Arabidopsis thaliana: one gene and its partners. The protein of the gene in region 1 interacts with the protein of each later gene in a pairwise test. Each region holds a gene or a part of one and is shown on either strand. Other genes may lie near its edges.

Region 1 (7,807 bases):
AAGAAATAGAGTTTCACCCAATACCAATAGCGTTTCACCTAGTTTTCATCATCCTATTACAAAAATTCGATGGTAAATTACAAGCGGCAAAGTTCAATGTAACTAATGATACACCGATACACGTAACATGTTCATTGAATGTTTCATTAAACCAACAAAAAACTATTGACTCATGCCACTAGAAAAATTACCACCGAATTAAATTAAAGAGAGCGAGAGGCAAATGAAACGATAGAAAATAAGACGTTCAATGGTCTTGAGAGAATTAAATATGTTTCTTTATATTCACCAGTGTTTGAACATTTGCAGAATTGTGCAGAGAAAGGACTAAAGGAGAATGAACAACATTTTATTGGACAAGGAAACTCTATTTTCACGATTTCGCAGGTATGTCTTTTTATAATATTACTTATTTCATAATATTTTGATATAGATGATTACTCAAACAAAAGAGGTGAAAACTCTTGTAAATTTTCAGTATTTAACCTGCAAAACAGATACTACTTTTTTACTTGATTTATCAAACCAAAGTTAAGACTTACAAAAGCACCGGTGACAATCCGACATTGTTGCCATGCAAAGACTCAAACCAATTTGACCGTCGACGCTTTTTTAGTATTTCAAAAATATTTTTATCAATTCATGAATTATGATTATTGCCAAACATCGATTCAGTGGAGACTAGGTTTATGAATTATGACCGTAGAACATATGAAAACTGTGTAAAACTATTGTATAATTTATGTATTAAATTTTGTATTAATCAACTGATATGCGGTCGGACCGGATCCAACCGGCGATCGAAACATACCATTTATATTTTTTCTTTTTCTATTTTACTAGAAATAAAATAAATAGAAACCTCCGTTGCTTTTTTGGCAAACACTGTGAGAGAGTTGACCAAAATCGACCCAGTGGGAGGACTAGGTTTATCGAAAGCTCCAGTTTTCATAGATAAATCCAGTAAAATTATACACGCAAATTCTAGTTTCTTAGAGCAAAGCTTTGTTGAATTGATAGCTTGAATTTGGGAATGGACGGAGAAGAGCTTACCGAGCAGGAGACTGCCTTGTACGACCGCCAGATTAGGGTTTGGGGCGCTAATGCTCAGAGAAGGTTACTTTCTCATCCCCTTGTTCTTTTCAACACTCAATCTTGTTTTCACTTTTCTAAATTTAAGTGCTTTTAAGCTGCATCATCTCAATTATGATTTGAGTCGGCTTTGAGTACTAAACTCTTACTATTTGGCCATTTTAGGAGAATGCTTAATGGTCCCTTCTTAAATGCGGATTTAGATCATTAAAATTGTATTTTTTTTTGCTTCTCCTCCATTCGATTACTTTCTCTTGGCTTCAGTTTTGGTTTTTATTTGTTTGTCTTTGTCTTAAGAGAATTTTAGTTAATACCTATTATTGGTTTAGCGTTTGGATTCTGCTTCTAGACTAGTGCATTCCTAATTATGAGCTCCCTTAGGTTGTTCTGAGATGAGAGTTTTGTTTTTTAACTATTAAGATTGATGTATTCATTCATATTTTGCTTTTTGCTGAAGCTTATTTTATTGATACACTACACTACCATGTAATTACTCTGTAAGCTTGGCACGATTTGATATAGTGTGAGGTTGGTGTTTTGCCTTGCAGATTGACCAAAGCTCATATCTTGGTATCTGGAATTAAGGGGACTGTTGCTGAGGTAGCTGTAACTCTATAATTCATGCTGAGATGTCATGCTTTTCAATTAGTTTAATCTAATGGTATCTTACTGCATTTCCTGGCTTTGTTTCCATTTGGTGGGTTAGTTTTGCAAGAACATTGTGCTGGCAGGAGTTGGTTCAGTGACTTTAATGGATGATCGTTTAGCAAACATGGAGGCCTTGAACGCTAACTTTTTGATTCCGCCTGATGAAAATGTTTACAGTGGCAAAACTGTGGCTGAGATTTGTAGTGATTCACTCAAGGATTTCAACCCTATGGTCCGTGTTTCCGTAGAGAAAGGTTTCCCTCTAATACCTCTCCGTTAATGTTTTAAAAACATACCGACTATTATCTGATCAATTTTTCAAATCTTTCAGGTGATTTGTCAATGCTTGGCACTGATTTTTTTGAGCAGTTTGATGTCGTAGTTATAGGCTATGGTTCTCGTGCTACCAAAGTATTTATACCACCTTTTACATATTTACCACTTGCTTTCATCTTTAGTTGCTCCATACATCTCTTCATGACGTTGTCTGTTTATTTTTTGCAGAAATATGTCAATGAAAAATGTCGGAAGTTAAAGAAACGTGTCGCATTCTATACAGTCGATTGTAGAGACTCATGTGGTGAAATCTTTGTGGACCTCCAAGATTACAAGTACACAAAGGTACTTGCATGATTTGTTGTTGCATTTCTTCTGTTGATTATGTGCTGTTTTGACATTTCATCTGGCTTATTTTTAAATTTCTATAATTCCATTGAACATTTAAACTTCATTAACAACTTCTAATTTGCACAATGTCCTTTGTATTGTTTTCCTGATAATTTTCTTTCCACAGAAAAAGCTTGAAGAGATGGTGGAATGCGAACTAAATTTTCCAAGTTTTCAGGTACAATTTAACACTAGTTCTCGCTACTAATAATCCTTACATCTGCATAGGATTTTGTGATAAATTAGATTTGTTTATTGCCACAGGAAGCTATATCGGTACCATGGAAACCGATTCCTCGGAGAACAGCAAAGCTCTACTTTGCTATGAGAGGTAGTTACTAGTTACTACAGCTGATTTCTTTATTACTTTCCACAAATGAAAATTGAGATCCCAAGGCAGATACATACAACAAAAATTCTTCACTAATCTTTGGCATTCTCATGAAATTTTCAGTAATAGAAGTGTTTGAAGAGAGTGAAGGGCGTAAACATGGAGAATGTTCGCTACTCGATCTTGCCAGAGTCTTGGAAATCAAAAAGCAACTCTGTGAGGCAAACGTAAGTGTGTTTAGTTGTTTTATCATTATTTAGAAATGTCACTGCCAGGTTCACTGAATAACTGAATATTGTCTCTCAGTCTGTGAGCGAGAGCCATATACCAGATATTCTCTTGGAGAGACTTATCACTGGTACTACTGAATTCCCGCCAGTTTGTGCCATTGTGGGAGGAATATTAGCACAGGTTCTCTCTCTCTCACTTTCACTCTCTTATCGCATTCGAATCTTCTCACTAGAAACTTGTAATTTGACAAGAAAGATTTTTTGATGTGGCAGGAGGTGATCAAAGCAGTATCAGGCAAAGGAGACCCGTTGAAAAACTTCTTCTACTATGATGGTGAAGATGGGAAAGGTGTGATGGAAGACATTTCCGACTCTTTTACCTCTTAAACAACCAGTGGGCCTTGATTTAGTTTAAACTCTATAATCTCTGAGATTCCATGTATATCTCAATCGTTTGTTTTTTGCCTTCACATTATGAACAAATTTAATGCAGAATTTAGTGGAGGATCAGTTGTGATTTTCCTTCGGTAAAATCATTTTCAGTTATTGACATTTGAATTGTTCAATTTCAAATTTCAAATATTATAATTCAATTCAAAGACTAGCTAAGTTTTTAAAAGTAATTAGTGAGAGATCTCACAGTGATATAAACCACATTCATTTTAATTCATAGCAAAGTAAATGGTAAGAAATGAAAATGGAAGAAAGAGAGGAGAGTAGTTCACACGAACATCTGAAGGAGAAGTTGAGAGAGCTTGAGGAGGAATGGACAGCCATGAAAACAGGTAAAAACTCATCTGCGGTTTCATGGATTACCGTGGAAGATGCTCTTGAGTATGTCGAAAACTCTCCCAGAAACCTAATGCTCTCTCTCCAACACAAACCAAAGGCAGAGATGATACAAGAAATATCGCCATTAAGGAGAAAACTCTTTCACGACTCTGATGATGATGATCAAACTAAGAAGACGACATTGCTTTCTCATTCATCTTGTTGGTCTTCGAATGTGACGAGTTCGAGTGATACCACGAAAGCAAAGAAGAAGACAACGATTAGAAGATTTGTTTCTGTTACAATGGTGCTGCTTTTGTCATGGGTTTTAGTTGTGTTGATGAACCACTTTGATCATCTCTCCATGAATACACAAATCATTACTTTGGTTCCTACTTGATATTTTTATTTATTTTGGTTTGAGAATGTTCATCAATCTCAATAAATAAAAAAAGTTTAGTTTTGTATTATTACCTCTCGCCTTCTCTTTTAATTCATTGAACCTCTTCAACTTTGGCTGTAACTATGTTGGTTAAAACAGTATAAGTAATGTATGTATTTATGGTTTTAGGAAAATCTTACAAAATAATACTCTATCATTGGATGAAGAAGCAAAAACTACACCCCTCTACATCTTTTCTATTCATAAACTTTTTTGGGGAAAGAACTACATTGGTGGTGATTAGGTGCATCGGTGACACTAATGTTGAAAATATGTTTTGTGTAAAATTAGTATGGTTAAAGCTAATCATTTAGTTGAGCAAAAAAAGATGCTAATCATTTAAATAGAAAATGGACTCAAACAAAAGAAGGCCACACATTCAATTGTTACATCTTTATTGGGTTTTCATTTTTGGAAGCTATTTTTATGAATTTGCAGTGTTTTGTTGCCCAAAAGAAAAAAAGCATAATTCCAAGTATATCTTTCATTTTGAATCCATCAGTCATATGTTTTACTTGAATCAACTATTTGTTGGGTTTTACGAAGTTACTTGTTAAGAAGATTCAAAATATATATAATTAGACTATCAAAGGAACAAAAGAATGTAATTGGGTCATAACTTTTTCCGAAGCTTACGTGACTTGGGAGAAAATCAAACCCATTAGTTTCACCCTTAATCAAACTAATCACAAATTTTGAACTTTGCAAAGAAGGTAAAATAATAATCAGCAAAAAGATTAATAAAATGACAAAAGTATCTCTTTAAAAGATTAATAAAGAAATAAAGAAATGACATAAGCTCTCACCGACCGACGTCTTGTCTTTTTTATTCTTAAGGTCGGTGCCATGTCGACGCCTTCAAGCTTAGAATCTCGCCACGTGTGGGATAAACTAACCGAACCCAATCGAACCAGACAGACCAAAGACAGACCAGACCGGACTAGTTGTATGTCGGCATCAGCGTTCTAGTACGACGTTAATTAAAAAAATAAAAATAAAATATTATTTATGATATTCCACCAATAAGAGCCAATGAAAAGTGTGTGAACCAACCAACTTCTGTAGCAAACCGTACCATTTCTCTCTTAGATACCTTTACCTTCCTTCTATAAATTAGGTTCTTCCTTTCACATTTCTTTGTCTTCTTCTTCTACATAAAATTGATTCGCCTCGAAATTTACACAGACTTGTCGCTCTCTCTTTCTCTCTTATTTCACAGAGCCCCTAAACATTTCCAAAAATCTTGCAAAGGAAGAAAAACAATGGACAAATTTTGGACTTTCCTCACTGCTCTTCATTCAGGCGCTGGGTAATTATTCTTAATCTTAATTTTCCTTCCATTATGTTTCCAAAATTAGTTACTTTTTGATTTCCTCTGTTTCGATTTCTAATCCAAACCGTAATCGATTTGTTGGTAATGTATATGCAGGCCTATCGTGATGTTACTTTATCCATTGTAAGTTTCTCTCTTGTTAAACCCTTTAACAAAAGAAAAAGTTTCTTTCTGGTTCGATCTCTCTACTTTTTGTTGAAGATTAAAAACAAAAATCTGTGAATATTTACTAATTATGTTTTTGATTACAGGTACGCATCGGTGATAGCAATGGAGAGCACAACAAAAGTGGACGATGAACAGTGGCTTGCGTATTGGATAATATATTCGTTCCTCTCACTCACGGAACTGATTCTGCAATCGCTTATTGAGTGGATTCCGATTTGGTATACGGTGAAACTTGTGTTCGTGGCTTGGCTAGTTCTTCCTCAGTTTCAAGGCGCAGCTTTTATCTACAACCGTGTTGTTAGAGAACAGTTCAAGAAACACGGCGTCCTCCGCTCCACCCACTCCAAGCCCACCAAGCCCAACATCCTCCACTCCATTTTCCCCCACCGGGTAAATTTTTTATCTTTTTGGTTTTGAGATTCATAAAGCAAAAAAAAAAAGTAAAAGTAACCATTAGTTTTAGTATTCTTTGGTGGGTCAAAGAACGAATCTTTGTTTATAAAGATTAATAATGCATTGAATATAGTCCTAGGAAACGTAAGAGTGTGCCTAATTCTCTAACGTAGCGACCATGAGCGTATAACAAGTGTTTTGTATACTTTTGTTAATTCTTTAATTCGTTTTTAAATTAATTGTGAATTTTAAAATGTGATATAGGAGGGACACGAGGCTCACAGTCACTGAATCAGAAGGGTGGAGCAGACAGAAGAAGCCTGACTAGTATTATTGTAATGGTCTTGGTGGTGGTCCCATCATGTCCCTGTCTAATCTACTTTTTACTTTATTTTTATTTATCACAAAAAATGGGTTTAGGAATGTTGATGATGATGACTGATGAGGTGTGTAATCGTTTTTAAATTAGAAAATGGCTTCTTCTGCTTGTATGATTGTATCGCTAATCTTCCACGCGTATTTCTTTAATGTCAACGCTAATAATTTCCAATTGTGTCCCTTCTTGAACTTATCATACATATTTTGATGACGCAAATATCTCACCGAATCAAACCCATAACAGTATATCCCTTTTTTTGGGGCCTAAAACCAAAATTGAAGTGAGGCTTACAGAGTTAGAACGCAATTTAAACCAGTGACTAATGTTTTGATTGGTTCTCCCTCTGCCACCTGCAAACGCTGCGTTTGCGGGTGGTAGCGGTTGTTAGCGTTTGACACTAATCATAGAAACCGCTAGATACCGTTTTGGACCGCTTGAAATCGCCAGATTTCAAAAGCTTCTTCCCGTAAGCGTTTGCGGTTGCGGGCGGTAGCGGTTAGGTTAATTTTTTTTTTTAATTAATTAAAATAATTATATCTTCCATCCAAACCCTATATATTTTATTCTTATCAGAAAACCCTAATCAATATATTGAAACCCTATTTTCTCAATTATGGCATCTACCCAAACTAACGAAAATCAAAATCAAAATCAAAAATCAAACGTAAGTATGATCTATCCTTTCATCCATTCATTAGCTAGTGTAATTCTCTGAGTATTTCATGGCATCGTCATTTTTTTTATTTTGTATTTTTTTGAGTTTTTTTATTGAATATATGTTTTGATTTGTTTTCTCGATTAGAAAATTATTTGGTCAGACGAGATGACCCGTTTCTTGTTAGAACTTTATCATATGTATAGAGGCAATCCGGAAAATCCACGAGTTCAACGTTATTTACAGTTTATTACACTACTTGATGCAATTTTTGGTGATGTACCAAATGCATAAAGTACTAAGCTTTTTCTTACAAAATTTATTTATTTTTGAATTTAATGTTTTATTTATGGTTTTAATTATTAAGCATGTTTAATTTTCTAATATTATCAATTTATCATAATAATATATTGTATTTTTTCTTTTAAAATTAATATATTATATTTATTTTGGTTATTTTTTATTTAATTACTATCGCACTCGCTGATTTACCAGTCATAAAACTTCCGTAAACGCACCCATTATCAAACGCTCAACCAGTCGTTCAAAACGCTTGATAATGCTTGAAACCGCAACCGCCTGTTTCCGCAAACTCCCGCAACCGCAACCGCAATTGATTAATGATTTATGTTACACGGTTTTGAAGCAAGCATGAATTATATCACATGTATAATATTCTTACACATACTCTTAGATTGA
Region 2 (7,938 bases), on another chromosome or scaffold:
AATACACGCATTTTCACATGCATTTGTATTTTACCAACTTGTTCTACTACTACTATATTTCTCATCTTATGCATTAATATAAATTAAAATTAGGTGAGTATATTTCTCATTTTACGTATTAGTGTTAATTAAATTAGGTGAGAAAATACAATTGTAAACTAGTAAGATCATTCAAAGTCAAGAGGTCAAAAAGACACGTGGAGTTTAATAAGCCTTTTAAGGTGAGCTAGTCAGATAAACAGTACAAAATGGACCTTTGAGGGTGAACACGTGGCAGATTCGCAACGGTTGTTTGACTTCGACAGATAAAACGGACGCGTTTGACGGAAACCGCGTTATGAGCATTAAATTGCAAAAGTTCATACCAAAAGCAAAAATCCAATCAGATCCACCTTCTTTTCTTTTCTTTTCTTTTCGACCAAATTAGTCACAAATCGGATCTACCTTTTTTCTTTACGATTTACAAATATTTCTCAAAAATCCTAAAAATGACATGTATGTACTATTATATTACTTGATTTAGATGCAGTGAATCTAGCTATCAAACAACTACTTTTATAGACAAGTTAAGGAACAACAATGCAAAAATGTCAGTCATTTCATTTGCCCCCAATAAAAAAAAAATGTCAGAGAACTTGAGAGTACACTAATAAAGTATTATTGTTTAAATAAACTAGATGAACACCCATGCTACGCATCGATTTTTGTTTTTAAAATTGTCGGAAAAATATGATTATGGTTTTTTGTTGATTTTGATGTTCATTTTGATTGTTTGACAAAAAAAAAAGATGTTCATTTTGATAAATTCATCCATTTAATATAATTATTATTTTTTATGATTAGATTCATCTATAACTCAAAATATCAATTCAACTACAATATGAATATTTATATATTTATTATTCTAATATTTCACTATCATGATCACATACTATAACAGTAAATGATATACTGATATAAGTAGTTATATTACTTATGTATTTTAAAACTTGTCTAACTTAATTGTAACAAACAATTCTTTATTCCATATATTATCTCGTTATCTAGTACACAATCACATCCTGATATGCTAGTAATTTAAGTCAACATTTTAATTCTTATCCCTACCATATAATCATATAAAGTCACATGTTGTTGTTTTTTTGGTATGTCTAATGTCTAGGATGACTATTACGTGAAAAAATTATATATCAATGTTACAAAATTATCTTAACACACAAAATGTACCGAAAGAAGTTCATATGATAAATCAAATTCACAAAATATAATAATAATAAAATATTTAACTAAAATTACTAAATTAATATGAGGTTAGGTAGCAAACATCTAAACTACAACACAAGTAAATTTTTAGCCATTATAGATTAATGATTATTGATTAAATGTTTTTAATAAAATAAGTAGAATAAAATGAAAGTAGTGCTTGGTACATTATTATGACTTTTTATTTATCGAATGTTTTTTAGAAAATTCATTTAAGAGTGAGATTAACACAACAAAAGACTTTTAATTTTTTCTCAATTAGTTTTGCTAGTTTTTTTATTTAATTAATATAGAATGACACATGTCATTTTTTTGTGTGATGATGTATCATTTATATGGAGAGTGTAGGCCAATTTTCATATATATATGATTTTGAATAAAAAGAAAAATTCAAAAGGAGAAAAATAGGCAGCAAAAAGCTGTCAGTTATTACATACAGCTAAGACTTGAGTAATGATTTTGTAGTTGACTATTTCATTTCCCCTGTGGACACGCTCGGCTTACGGTTATGAAATCATGCGTTGGAGTTTTTCTTGCTTTTCCCTTTTCTCATGCGTAGAGTTTTTTTTCTTTCTTTACAATTTGTTTAACCATAGTTTTATAGGTTTGTAGCTATATGAGTGGTTAATTTATGGTCTAGCTAATTGGTCTTTTTCTTATTCAGTTTTTGCATTAAATGTAGATATCAATACTGAAAGTTGACTTTTATCAAAAATACATAACAAAGTATAAGAAAAATAACGCTTAGACAAGTTATTACACATATGCAATGTTCACCAAAGCAAGCAAGTACGAAATATACATGCATATGATAATACATGTAAACGAGATAAATCAGCATCGTAAAGATGAACTGGTAACACGGACACGAGCCATCCACATGGGTGGTACCTCCTTATGCGCGTCTTCCCTCAAAATATTGATCATTATAAAATGATGACACCATAGTCTAACCTTGCAAATTGACGCCGTATTGATTGTAGTGACATTTGTACACGATTACACGAAGCAATAAATTAAGTGATGCAACTCTATAAGATATCGTAAGATGATGAAATGTTTAATAAACTAATTAAATGGATGATATAATACGGAATTGACATTTGAGGAGTTCTCAGCCATTCATTCTAACCCTCTAGACCCTTCTTTTTTAATCTTGTATGATTTATTATCTAAATAAAAGTCTAAACCACTCATTAACATGATATCATCATTACATTGCGAGCCAAAATTATTGCTTAACAATCATGAAGTCTACGTGTGTCACATTCGGAACCTCCGAATAATTATTTTTATACTTTTTCGGTTTGATATACTTCAATATATACTATTAATTTGGATAATCTCATTCTTAATATTCTCTCAGTTCCATTTTATTGAAAATTTTCAGAAGTTTTGTTTTCGCATATATACAAAAGAATTCTAAATCTACTAGCTGGACTAGTGGACCAATTGTTGGACGCCTCTACCAAATAAATCGTAAAAATATGTTGATTTCAATTTTATCAATTTGGCTGGAATCGAAGTGCTCGTGTACATTAGTTTCAACCGCTTAGAAAGACGTCTAGCTAAATGAGTAGACAACCATTTTTTTAACTAATCTTTTAAAATTTATGGAGTTGTGTACGTCCACTCACTTCTATTTGAATAGAAAAAAGATTAATATGGTTATGGAAGAAACGTCCCATAAAGCCGGTGTGAATGTAATATAATGAAATGATTCTCCATCAAACTATGATTGTAAAATTAAAACGCTTCGATTATAGAATAAACTTGTAGAAACATTTTAACTTGTAAAAATTAACCATTCTAAAACAAAACTTGTTAAAACTCAACTTACAAACAATGTTTGATTGAAATTGAATATATATTATTTGGAGTACGTAAACATGGATGATCTTATCTGAAATAGTACATAAAATAACAAAAGAAAAAATTAATTAAACATATAAATTTGAGAAATATGAGGAGGATGGAAAAAAGAAGTCACGCCACGCCTCCTATATAAACAAGAGCCAAGCTAATGAGATAAGTGTATCGGTGAGGCTGAGAGTTATTCACTTACAAAAAAAAAAAAAAACTTGAGTGTAACCAAAAAAAAAAGTTGATATACTTTCTGGTTTTCTCCTTAACTTTTATTCTTTACAAATCCATCCCCCTTAGATCTGTTTATTTCCCGCTACTTTGATTCATTTCTGTTAGTAATCTGTCTTTCGTATAGAAGAAAACTGATTTCTTGGTTTGTATTTTCTTAAAGAGATCAATCTTTTTTTATTTTTGATCTTCTTGTGTTTTTTTTTCTTTGTAGAATTAATCGTTTGTGAGGGTATTTTTTTAATTCCCTCCTCTCAGAAATCTACACAGAGGTTTTTTATTTTATAAACCTCTTTTTCGATTTTCTTGAAAACAAAAAATCCTGTTCTTTACTTTTTTTACAAGAACAAGGGAAAAAAATTTCTTTTTATTAGAAATGACAACTTCTATGGATTTTTACAGTAACAAAACGTTTCAACAATCTGATCCATTCGGTGGTGAATTAATGGAAGCGCTTTTACCTTTTATCAAAAGCCCTTCCAACGATTCATCCGCGTTTGCGTTCTCTCTACCCGCTCCAATTTCATACGGGTCGGATCTCCACTCATTTTCTCACCATCTTAGTCCTAAACCGGTCTCAATGAAACAAACCGGTACTTCCGCGGCTAAACCGACGAAGCTATACAGAGGAGTGAGACAACGTCACTGGGGAAAATGGGTGGCTGAGATTCGTTTACCGAGGAATCGAACTCGACTTTGGCTCGGAACATTCGACACGGCGGAGGAAGCTGCTTTAGCTTATGACAAGGCGGCGTATAAGCTCCGAGGAGATTTTGCGCGGCTTAATTTCCCTGATCTCCGTCATAACGACGAGTATCAACCTCTTCAATCATCAGTCGACGCTAAGCTTGAAGCTATTTGTCAAAACTTAGCTGAGACGACGCAGAAACAGGTGAGATCAACGAAGAAGTCTTCTTCTCGGAAACGTTCATCAACCGTCGCAGTGAAACTACCGGAGGAGGACTACTCTAGCGCCGGATCTTCGCCGCTGTTAACGGAGAGTTATGGATCTGGTGGATCTTCTTCGCCGTTGTCGGAGCTGACGTTTGGTGATACGGAGGAGGAGATTCAGCCGCCGTGGAACGAGAACGCGTTGGAGAAGTATCCGTCGTACGAGATCGATTGGGATTCGATTCTTCAGTGTTCGAGTCTTGTAAATTAGATGTTGCCATAGGGGTATTTTAGGGACTTTAGAGCTCTCTGCGATGGAGTTTTTGGTCATTGCAGAGATTTTATTATTATTAAGGGGGTTTGTTATGTTAATATCAAATAAGTTTATCTACTTTGATGTTAATTAGTGTTAATCTCTGCGTCGGTCCAAGCTGTTTTTTTTTGGCATGCTTCGACCGTGTGAGATTTCTTATGTAATTTTTGTAGTTCCTTGATTTTCTTAGTTCAAGTTAAATTGGCACAAAAGAACAACGATCAAAGTAGAAGAAACTAAATTCCTTAACTATAAAAACTTGATTGGTATGAAACTGCAAAAACTCCTTCTAAATCTACAAAACATGTAACTCACTTCTCGTAATAACTAAATTCTGGAAGTGTTGCTTAGACTGTAAATGAGGAAGCATCCTGAATCAACTTTAGTGTATTTCAATCCATGGCTTTAAGCTAATCTAAGAAACCACTTTCTCTGATTATCAACAAACGTAGACACTTAAAAAAACAAGGCTTTAGTTTAATAACATAAAGCAAGATCGGTATCTTCAGATTTAGACTACACTTTAAACAAATGAGCTCAAATTAAATAGGAAAAATTAACATTCGTTTCAATCGGTGATAACAACATTTTACACTTTGTATGTTGCCTATGAAGAGATAGTGAATAGTGAAAGGCAAAGTTCAGATCCTGGAATATCTTACAGTACTACAAAATTCTTTAAATCATCGCATTGTCACAAATTCAAACCTAATGTCTAACTGTAAAACCCGTAGAGATGATTCTCCAGTAGCTGATCAAGAAAGTGTGGAGAATATCAAACAACTCAGTTGAATTTACCAATCTCCATTTTCTTCTTAATTGCTCGTTGTCCATGGTATATGAACGAATCTACTATTCCCGATACCGTGAAGATACCTGCAAATCAAAGGTATAATTTTAGTTTTGAATTTGATGATAAACATATCAGTAGGGTATGTTTAAATTGAATGGAGAAGGGATATATATATTGATTACCTCCTACTATAGCGCAAACATTTGTTAGGAAGTGCAAGAACTCCACATGTTGCTCCTCAAATATCACCTAGCCAACAATCAAAAGTTAAAATGTTTCTAGAGATATAGTCTCCGTTGGTATTAAGAACACGACTTGGAAAAAGAAAAAGAAAAAACGAACAGACCTTAATTGGCGATAGATCATAGTAGAAGAAAACACCAGGCGGAGATTGCATGCGACCTGCTTCCATGTTCTGGAAATGTTCTGTCACAGAGAACTGTTAAAAACAAAAACTCATAGGTTAGATTTTACAAGAAGAAAATGACAAAGATTTTTATATAGAGATTTGGGGATGTGGGATTTACCTGGTTTGACTGTATTGTATTCTGGTGAACATCGGTGTATATGCTTGGTACCACCTGAAATTCAACACCACAATCCATTCTTTATCCCTACGCTCAACAATCTTTCTAGCATGCAAAAGCTACCGATAAAGAAATTCTTATTGCATTGGTCAACAAGCATAATGTATTAATGTCTTTGTACTTCTCTATCAGTAACCTGAGCTAATAATGAGCCTTTTAGGAATCTCAAAATTTTGTACCTAAACTATTGTCCCAGGTGAGAGCATTGTCTATAGATATAATGTACAAATGAAGCAAACCTTGATGAAGTATTGATAGACGCCACTCTGTTTCCCCTGATTCCACTGCACACTGAGAGAACCAAGAGAATGTTTCAGAAGATAGGATTATTGAAAAAGCGATAACAGGTGCGAGTAATGGCTATATAATTGAGTTTTTACCCATCAAGAGGGTTCACTACACCGGGGAAAAAGTCTCCAAAGGCCAACCTGTTGACCTTGTGGCTAATCTGTGTAATGATATAATAGAGTCAAGACCCATTTGAAATATGAGCTTATAAAGAGAGAATGAAACAAAAATAAAACTTTTCTTACATTGTAGTTGCCTTGCTGGAACAATAACATATCATGAAATTGAAAACCGGATTGATGAAAGCTTTGCCCAGGAATGAAATGAAAGTTCCCAGCAACTTTGTTAACTTCCAAGAAACCGTGAACATTACAACCTTCACCTTCTTCATCTTTTACCTTTTGCACAAAGCCTTCTCTTTTACACTGAAATGAAATGATGAGTAAGAATATCATACAACTAGATGTGGGGATAGCTGAAACGAAAGACCAGATACCCATGGTTTCTTTAGATATATCCATTTTAGTGCCAAACAAGGTGTCACTATTTGTTTCAAACTAAGTACCAAGATCAACCCAATTTTGTTGTTAGTGAAGGAACGTCAGTATACCTGGTCGATTGATTCAGGGTCCGAGAGGGCCCAACCTTTCTTTCGGTAAGCTTCGCGAACTTCCTCACATGAATTACAACAAGCATCATCTGACTGTAACATGTAAGCAATGACAACCACAACATGTAACAAGGATAAAAAACATTTCACCACCATAGAAGAAACTAAAATGTAAATTAACTGAATCAACACTAAAGAACTCAGTTGAATATTCTCTACTGCAACTTAAAGTCCAATATCGCTTGTCAGAGCATATTCTTAGAATAATTTAGGGAAGCTTACCGCTTCTGCTCCAAAACAGGAACCACAGTATGTTTCATTGTGTTCCAACCTTCCACCATGTTTTTGTAAAGGTTTTTCAATCTATGGATAAACAATAACATTAGGTAATTAGAGACATAACGAAGCAAACAAGACAGAACTTCAACACTTTCAATCTCTTAAAACTTCTTGCAATGAGATCAGAGATGACACATGAAAATGAAAAATTTCAAAACCATAGAAAAACCAACCTTAGTATGACCAATTCCGTCTTGTTTTGCCTCGATGACATTGCCAGAAGAGTCTAATCTCCTTTTAATAATGTCATGTCGCTGCACCATACAAACGAACAGAATCCAAAATCAGACAAAGTAAACACACACATAATCTCAATTTGAAAAGAAAAAAACAAACGTAATGGAACAAAACAATTCACCAGGACATACCACATCAAGGTGCCTCTCCCCACTGATATCCATGGAATCAAGACTAATAATCGAACATTGAAGCGCAGGGAATGTAACATCAAACTACAAATCGTATATGACAAGTTATTAAAAGCACTCCCTTAAACAAAAACTAGTAAGCAAAAGAACAAAGTTTTACATTAATCCGTAGCTTCTCTCCTCTTGATGTATCAACACGAAGCTGAGTCTCAGTAACCGGGTGAATGTACAGCTCTAAACCAAACAAACCCACAAATAAAACAAAACAAAAACACAATCAAAATCAAAACCCACAAAGAAAAATCAAAACTTTGGAGCTCTAATTCTACAAAGTATCAACCTTTAAGCTTCCTAGAATCAAATTGGATCCAAAACCAAAACAGGGGAGATCA
Region 3 (8,983 bases), on another chromosome or scaffold:
GATCCATGGTTTCTTGTAGTCAATGTGGCGAATGGTATCACACCTATTGTTTAAAGCTTCATTGGCGGCCTAAGGCTTATGTCTGCTCCGCTTGCTGTCCACTGGCAGAAACCACTCCACAGATCGATCCCGCCAGGTTTGTTCCTTTGCAATAAAAGCTTACTCTAAACCACATTGCTACACACTTGTATTCACATCGATCTTAGATTTTTAAAAGCATACTTTCTTGAAACCTCTATACTTTTGCTTCACTCATTAGTTTAGGTCACAATCAAAAGCTACTGATTGTGTGGTTTCTGTTAGGCTTAGTGGCTTGAACCGAGAATGTTTACAGATTCGTTAAGATACTCTACACTTCCTCCCATTTTTCTGAACCCATTTGTTTGATTGATATCTATTAACAGAGCAACAGAGCCAGAGAGACCGTCTCTGAACCAAAGACGGACAAGAATGGTCGCGACTGATGCAGCAGTTAATGACTTAAAGTGGAAAACCCGAAAACACATCAAACGGACAACTAAACGGAGTCCTCAGGTTCATATTCTTCCCTGGTTTTTCACTTAAAAACCAACATAATAATCTCTTGAGGGTATGATATATAGAGCAATTTCATTTATTCAATTTTAGATGAGTTTTCTCAAACCTTTTTGTAATGTTTCCCATTGGAAAATGGACAAGTTCACATTAAAAAGGTTTTGGACTTAATAATTTGCCAGATTTTTGGATCTTTTTTTTTTTTGAACTGGATCAGTGGATCTATAACTAGAATTTGATGATTATGTAATATAAGAAATTCTAATCACAACTATGTATAGAGGAGATATTAGCTTAGATCTTAGATTTAAAGCTTGTTTCATTCTTTGATGTTTTATTCAAGTTTAACACATTTACCATTGAAATTTGTATTCTTATTCAATTATAGATTTATAGTATGTATTTGTTGATATCTCTCACTTTTTAAACTCAACAAACTCTACCAAAATCAAACTACCAGCAGCTATTAGAATTTTGAACTATTGTTGGACCACCAATGTGTGAAGAGAATCATATCTCTTAATCCCCACAAATTCATGAGAAGGAAAATAAAAAAGCAACAGTTGAGATCACTTTCCTTACAAGAATCAGAAAGAGACCCACTTTTGATGACATCATGTTTCAGAGACCCACAATCATATCTCTCTATATATGTATGTATCATAATGTGTGTATATGTGTTGTGAAGTAATAAGTAAGGGACTTTCATAGAAACAGAGCCTTATTGTACCTTTTGAGACACCATCCTCAAGCTGAAAGCTTCCTTCAACACTCTTCTTCCATTTTTGAAAATCTATCTAGTACATTTATTGTGAATTTCACACTGTCCATATCTTGTTTATTTATTAAAGTTATTAATGTTACATGTAGATGAAATGGACTGATTTGTGTATGTTTATAGCTATTTATGTAAGAAGAACAAGTAAAATATTGTATAAGTTCAGTAATGGTCGGCCTCAAATTTTTCCTATCATGAAATTTCTAAGTAAAAAAAGACAAGTCACATTACTTTAGGTAAAAAGTTGGCAAAACAAAAAGTGAAAGAAGGAAAGTCAAAACTCTTTATTTTATTGTCAAAAGTCAAATGTGTGCAAATGTAATATTGTTGACATTAAACAAAACAAATTAATGTAAAGATTATTCATAATGGAGTAGCAAAACAAATCTAATTAAACCCAAAATATATAATATATGATATATCTCTAGAAAACTTTTATTTATATCTAGCACCAAATTTTGACTATTTGGATTTTTTGGTCGGGTACTTTAGCCACCGGATATTAAATGCATCATACAAACTTTCAAATTAGGTGGAAACAAAATATATGTACGTATATATATATATATATATATTAATAAATCACTTTCAAAACTTTTAAAAGAAAATAAAAAAAAAGAATTTTAGATAAAAAGTAAAAGAGAAAAAGGGGAATATAAAAATGGAAAACAAATAAAGTTAGGAGAGAGGGCTCACTGTCCGAAGCAAAGAAAGAAATAGCAAAGTGAGTTAGACATGTGAGAGAGAAGAGATTCAAGTGTGTCCCCATTCTCTTTCCTATCCTTTAGTCAACAACACATCTCTCTCATATTTGGATATTTCTAATCAAGATCAAACTTTTTACAACAAGATTTGATTTTTTTTGTTCTTTTAAAATCTTAATTTGAATTAAGATGATATGAAGTCATTTCATACTAGTCTTGCCTCTTGTCAAAGTGTAACTGAATGAAATTTCAAGATTATATATTTATAAGAAAACCTAAAATTTTTAGATATATTTTGAAATAATCTTATAATTATCTATACTAATTAAAAATAAATTATAAATATATTATAGAGCAGTTGACCAAAAAAAATTACAGATAACTATTGAAGATATATAGACATGATTAGTTGAGGTGTAGAAAGTTTGTAAAGCCACTAAAATAGCTCCAAAATTGAAATAATCATGTTGTAGTTTTTTCTTTTTTCTAGCAAGAATAATATATTTTTGATTATTTTAAAAGGTTTGTACATTTTTCTCTTTTTATTTTCACTTTATTTTTTTAGTTTCTTTAGAAACATTATTATACTTTTCATATATATATATTGAATTTATCTTCAAATTTTGCATACATATTTTACCCACTAAACATGATTCCATATAAAAACGGAAAAAGTGTGTCACAGAAGAAATAATATATTACATGATATAATAATCTAAAATGTCAACTGTTTTCTTTAGAATATGTTAGAAAAGATTTTTTTTTTAAATCTTTATTGGTAGCAATGTTTATGAGAATAAAGCACATAATTGTCTCTCAATGACTAATAAATTTCGGTTTCAGTCAAAGATCTAACGAGATATTAGATTTGTAATAATCATCAAAGAAAGTCTATCCTTTTTATTAAAAACAAATATTCTTAAACAAACTAATACTTTAAATAAACTATTCTTAAACAAACTAATACATTAAATATTCTTAAACAAACTAATACATTAAATATTCTTAAACAAATATTCTTAAACAAACTATGCTTAAATCTTTCATAATAATCTTTCTCTCAATTGAATTTATCTTTCACAAAATTAAATAACAAATCAATTAAAGAGATATATAAATACGAAAAACAATGGTCGTCACTCTCGTTCAGCTTCTTTAGTTTTCTTCTAACTTTCAGAGAAAGACCTCTCTCAATTCAAAAGTTCACAATATTAAAAGTATAAATCAGAATCATTAAACTGTTAGTCTCTCTCTCTCTCTCTCTCTCTCTCTCTCTCTCTCTCTCTCTCTCTCTCTCTCTCTCTCTCTCTCTCTCTTTTTCTCTTCTTCTCCCTGAATTGTCTCATCTGTCTTCTTCCTTTGTCTCTCCTCTGATATACATTGTGTTCTCCTTCTCAGAAACCCTAGATTTCTCTCAATCAAATCTAGCTTTTCTCTTAGGGGGAGATTTGATTTTTTTCTCTGCAAGACTGTAACAGTAGGAGAAGCTACTTTCCTCTGTTTTCTTAATTTCAAATCTGCAATCGTACTTTTTCGAGTTCTATAAGTGAACTCAGATTTTAGCTTTTTTTTTTTAGGGTTCATAAGAACAAATTGGATTTTGAGCTCACAGTATAAATAACCCGACTTTGATTACTGGGTAATTTTAAAACCGCCATTGTTGTTCTCTTTACTACTTTTGGGAATTAGGGTTTATGATTTCTGGGTATTAGATTAGATAAATTTGTTTCCTTTTTTTGTTAATCAATTTAAAAATCTCTTATTTCTGTTAAAGACTTGTAATTTTGGAGTTTTTAATGCATGGACGGAAGAGAAGCAATGGCATTTCCAGGCTCGCATTCTCAGTACTATCTTCAAAGAGGAGCCTTTACTAATCTCGCACCTTCCCAAGTCGCGAGTGGGCTTCACGCGCCGCCGCCACATACGGGATTGAGGCCAATGTCTAACCCTAACATTCATCACCCTCAGGCTAACAATCCAGGACCTCCTTTCTCGGATTTTGGACACACCATTCACATGGGAGTGGTCTCCTCTGCTTCTGATGCTGATGTGCAACCGCCACCGCCACCGCCACCACCAGAGGAACCGATGGTTAAGAGGAAACGTGGACGGCCAAGAAAGTATGGAGAACCGATGGTTAGTAATAAGTCTAGGGACTCTTCTCCAATGTCTGATCCTAATGAACCTAAACGGGCCAGAGGTCGACCTCCTGGAACTGGAAGGAAGCAACGCTTGGCTAATCTTGGTGAGATCTCGAGTTTTCTATTCTGTGTACTTTGTCAAGTTAAGTTTTTGCTTTAGCTCTGTTAGCTAGTCTTGAAGGACATGAGCTTGAATCTTATGGATGCTAGAAGCTTTGAATGATTCTATAGTTAAGTTAGGTTTTGTTACTTTGTCGTTACTGATACTCAATATTGATTGTTGGCTATTAGTTTGACGGATCTATGTGTGGTACAATGCTAGGTGAGAGGAGTAATTGGTTATTAGTAGATGTGGACGAAATCGACTTCTTGATTTAAGTTATTGATTTAGGTTTTTAAGCTGTGAAAGAGTAATCTTACTAATCCATTCATGTTTAAGTAATTGGTCATCATAATGTGATTAATCAAACTTTAAGTAATAGCAAACTCTTGACTCTGATAATTTCTTTAGGTGAGTGGATGAATACTTCAGCTGGACTTGCTTTTGCACCTCATGTGATCAGCATTGGAGCAGGAGAAGTAAACTGACCAAAACTCCTTTATATATTAATGATCATTTATGCAGCTTTTCATTGTATCAATTTCCTTTTATTTTTCTTTGCAGGACATTGCTGCGAAAGTTTTGTCATTTTCACAACAAAGACCTCGGGCTCTTTGTATAATGTCAGGCACTGGAACCATTTCTTCAGTCACTCTGTGCAAACCCGGTTCAACCGATCGTCACTTAACATACGAGGTTTCAAAGTCGTTCATTCAGTTAATCGAAAAAGAAAAACCTGAAAAGATTTCTTATTTAATCCTCTTTCTGTGTTTCTTAGGGACCTTTTGAGATTATAAGTTTTGGTGGATCTTATTTGGTGAATGAAGAAGGTGGATCCAGAAGTCGAACAGGCGGATTGAGTGTCTCTCTTTCTCGTCCCGATGGTAGTATTATTGCCGGTGGAGTTGACATGCTTATCGCAGCCAACCTTGTTCAGGTATATTAAATTCTTCTTCTTAATGGTTGTAAAGTGAAGCTAAAACGAGGCGAAACTAACTACGAATGTTAGCCTTTGATATGTTTGTGCTGTCACTTTCTTTCCTCTTCAAGATATCATGTGGTAGTGTTTGAAAAACTTGTTTGTTATTCAGGTGGTGGCATGTAGTTTTGTATACGGAGCAAGGGCAAAGACTCATAATAACAATAACAAGACCATCAGACAAGAAAAGGAACCAAATGAAGAGGACAACAATAGTGAAATGGAGACCACACCGGGTAGTGCAGCTGAACCAGCAGCATCTGCGGGTCAGCAGACGCCACAGAACTTCTCTTCTCAGGGAATAAGGGGGTGGCCCGGTTCAGGCTCAGGCTCTGGCAGATCACTTGACATTTGCAGAAACCCACTCACTGATTTTGATTTGACTCGTGGATGATATACACTATTAGTCTTTGAAGCAGCAGCATACAAAATGTGATTGCTGTACATATGTTATTGTAGATTTCTCTCTGGGAATGTTGAAATCAGACATTTAAGGATTGATACTAGATCTCTCAGCTCCTTCTAACATTGTTAATGTAACAGAACCCTCCCACTTTCATGCTATTTTAGGAGATTTTTTTAACTCTTTTATGATCTCATTGTGGTCATCAAGAACTTGGTTTCTTTACTAGTTCACTATTTTTCTTTCAGGTTCTTTAACATATTTAGTAAACTTGATTCCTCTTATTTGGTAGACAATGTGTAATTCAACACACACAAGATTTAGGATCCTTAATTTATAGGAAGATGACAAGCTCATAATTTATACATGAAAAGCATTAAATATTAATGAATATATATCCTCAAATTGACTTAAATTTCTTTTTCAGTCAGAAATCTAATGAGACATTAGATTTTGTTATAAACCATTGAAGAAAGTCTATATCCTTTTTAATAAAAAAAATTCTTAAACAACCCAATTTATTTTTTTTGTAAACCAATTGAATATTTTTTTTTGACAAAATTAATTAAAGAAATAGTATATAAATAGAAACAATGGTCTTCACTTCCTTTCTCTTCTTTTTTTTTCTTTCCTTTTTTTTTTCTGAGATTTGCTTTCTCTACCAGAGAGACTGTAACAGTAGTAGTAGCTACTTTTGCTTGTTGTCTTCATTTCAAATCTGCAATTTTACTTTCTTTTTGAGTTCTAAGTGAACTCAACATTTAGCTTCTTTTTCTTTTCTAGGTTTCATAAAAACAGTTTGGATCTTAAGCTCACAGCTGAAAATAACCCGACTTTGATTACTGGGTATATAAAAGCCGCCATTGTTGTTCTTTTCACTCTTTGGGTTATTAGGGTTTACGATTTCTGGGTGGTAGATAAATTTGTTCTTCAAAAAAGTTTCCTTTTTTAAAAAATCTCTTAGATTCTTAAAGAATTGTAATTTAGGGTTTTAAATGCATGGATGGGAGAGAAGCTATGGCATTTCCAGGCTCGCATTCTCAGTTCTATCTTCAGAGAGGAGTTTTTACCAATCTTACACCTTCCCAGGTCGCGAGTGGTCTTCACGCGCCGCCGCCACCTCCGGGAATGAGGCCAATGTCAAACCCTAACATTCACCACCCTCAGGCTAGCAATCCAGGACCTCCTTTCTCCATGGCTGAGCACAGGCATTCTGATTTCGGACACAGCATTCACATGGGGATGGCTTCTCCTGCTGCGGTGCAGCCTACTCTGCAGCTGCCGCCTCCACCGTCGGAGCAACCGATGGTTAAGAAGAAACGTGGAAGGCCAAGAAAGTATGTTCCTGATGGACAAGTTTCATTGGGGCTTTCTCCAATGCCTTGTGTTAGTAAAAAGTCTAAGGACTCTTCTTCAATGTCTGATCCTAATGCACCTAAAAGAGCCAGAGGTCGACCTCCCGGAACTGGAAGGAAGCAACGCTTGGCTAATCTTGGTGAGATCTCAAGTTTTTTCTGTGTACTTGATTAAGTTAAGTTGTTGTTTTAGCTCTGTTGGCTAACCCTTGAAGGATCTTATGATTAGATGAAAGTTTGAATGGTAGAAGCTATGTATGATTCTATGGTTATTTTAGGTTTTTGTTGCTTTAGCCTTACTGTTACTGTTACTCAACATTGATTGTTAGGTATTAAATTGACTGATCCATGTGTGGGTACAATGCCAGTTGAGATGAGTAATTGGTCATTAGAATGTGGTAGTCAACTCGATATTTGACTTCTTGATTTATGGACACAATTTGTAAGCTTTGGCACAACTTTCTTCTATGTACATTGTGAAGAACACGAGCTGGGGTCTTATGATTAGGTAGATTTTGGTTGCTAGAAGCTTAATGATTTTATGGTCAAATTAGTATTGATTTGGCTCTGTTGTTACTGCTACTCAACATCGGTTGTTAGGTATTAACTATGAGAGTAATTTGACTGATCCATTTGTGTTGAGATAAGTAAATGGTCATTTAACTCTGTTAATTACCTTAGGTGAGTGGATGAATACATCAGCTGGACTTGCTTTTGCACCTCATGTGATCAGTGTTGGATCAGGAGAAGTAATCTCTAAAAACTCCTATCAATCTTAATGAGTTATGCAGCTTTTCATTGTTTCAATTTCCTTTTATTTTTCTTGCAGGATATTGTTTCGAAAGTTTTGTCTTTTTCACAAAAAAGACCTCGGGCTCTTTGTATAATGTCAGGCACTGGAACGGTTTCTTCAGTCACTCTGCGTGAACCCGCTTCAACAACGCCTTCCTTAACATTTGAGGTTTCAAAATCGTTCATTCAGTTAATCCAAAAAAGAACCAAACCGTGGAGAACTAAAGATTCTTTATCCCTTCTTTGTGTTCTTTAGGGACGTTTTGAGATTCTAAGTTTAGGTGGATCTTATCTGGTGAATGAAGAAGGTGGATCCAAAAGTCGAACAGGCGGTTTGAGTGTCTCTCTTTCTGGTCCTGAAGGTCATGTTATCGGCGGTGGAATTGGAATGCTTATCGCAGCCAGCCTCGTTCAGGTATTTCAAAATTGGTTTGGCTCCATTAAGTTTTGTTTTGGTTGTAATTGTTTGGTATAACATTTGTGCTACCTGGAATACAAAAGTTCAAAATACGGTTCTGGTACGGTTTGAGAAATTTTGTTTGGATTTGTTTATATGTAATGTGACTCTTAAACTAAATTTTTTTGTTGGTTGTTATTTTGAAGGTGGTGGCTTGTAGTTTCGTGTACGGAGCAAGTGCAAAGTCTAATAATAACAATAACAAGACCATCAAACAAGAAATAAAACCTAAGCAAGAGCCGACCAATAGCGAAATGGAGACCACACCTGGTAGTGCACCAGAAGCTGCAGCATCGACGGGTCAGCATACGCCACAGAACTTCCCAGCTCAGGGAATGAGCGGATGGCCCGTTTCAGGCTCAGGCTCAGGCAGATCACTTGACTCTAGCAGAAACCCACTCACTGATATTGACTTGACTCGCGGGTGATTCAAAACAAAAACATTATTAGTCTTTCTTCCTATTTACTCCGACTACTACCCTTTAGTCTTGGAAGCAGCAGCAGCAGCATACATTATGTGAGTGCTGTACATATCTTTGTTGTTGTAGATTTCTCTCTGGGAATGTTAAAACCAGACATTTCAGGATTGAGACCAGAACTCTCAGTTCCTTATTGTAACATTCTCAATGTAACAGAACCACCCCACTTTCAGGCTACTCAACGAGATTGTAACTCTTTTATATCACTCATTAAAGCTTCCTTTGGTTTCTTCAATATCTGTGTTCAATTCGGTTTTGGTT

Evidence for each region. Proteins that work in one complex are often made in the same cells at the same time.
Region 2: the proteins of HVA22D (region 1) and AT1G22190 interact in a two-hybrid assay, tested with the Arabidopsis thaliana proteins (one large-scale study listed by BioGRID).
Region 3: the proteins of HVA22D (region 1) and AT1G63480 interact in a two-hybrid assay, tested with the Arabidopsis thaliana proteins (one large-scale study listed by BioGRID).

Annotation. Positions count from the first base shown.
Region 1 is NC_003075.7:12,822,618-12,830,424, forward strand, and holds HVA22D (HVA22 homologue D), read left to right. Parts: upstream 1-5,238; 5' UTR 5,239-5,442; coding exon 5,443-5,489; intron 5,490-5,609; coding exon 5,610-5,636; exon of another isoform or gene 5,637-5,764; coding exon 5,765-6,071; intron 6,072-6,223; coding exon of another isoform or gene 6,224-6,243; intron 6,244-6,338; coding exon 6,339-6,365; coding exon of another isoform or gene 6,366-6,402; 3' UTR 6,403-6,686; downstream 6,687-7,807. Other genes in the region: SAE1A (SUMO-activating enzyme 1A), read left to right, coding at 1,034-1,116, 1,641-1,692, 1,799-1,994, 2,072-2,151, 2,245-2,361, 2,534-2,584, 2,671-2,737, 2,861-2,964 and 2 more; AT4G24950 (uncharacterized protein), read left to right, coding at 3,665-4,138.
Region 2 is NC_003070.9:7,832,512-7,840,449, forward strand, and holds AT1G22190 (Integrase-type DNA-binding superfamily protein), read left to right. Parts: upstream 1-3,269; 5' UTR 3,270-3,733; coding exon 3,734-4,519; 3' UTR 4,520-4,900; downstream 4,901-7,938. Other genes in the region: AT1G22200 (Endoplasmic reticulum vesicle transporter protein), read right to left, coding at 5,346-5,437, 5,537-5,603, 5,701-5,793, 5,882-5,935, 6,181-6,232, 6,322-6,389, 6,475-6,654, 6,840-6,932 and 4 more.
Region 3 is NC_003070.9:23,536,519-23,545,501, reverse strand, and holds AT1G63480 (AT hook motif DNA-binding family protein), read left to right. Parts: upstream 1-3,268; 5' UTR 3,269-3,816; coding exon 3,817-4,261; intron 4,262-4,668; coding exon 4,669-4,736; intron 4,737-4,821; coding exon 4,822-4,953; intron 4,954-5,035; coding exon 5,036-5,194; intron 5,195-5,348; coding exon 5,349-5,630; 3' UTR 5,631-5,945; downstream 5,946-8,983. Other genes in the region: AT1G63490 (transcription factor jumonji (jmjC) domain-containing protein), read left to right, coding at 1-136, 405-564; AT1G63470 (AT hook motif DNA-binding family protein), read left to right, coding at 6,639-7,134, 7,676-7,743, 7,824-7,955, 8,043-8,201, 8,390-8,671. UniProt on the Arabidopsis thaliana protein: Transcription factor that specifically binds AT-rich DNA sequences related to the nuclear matrix attachment regions (MARs).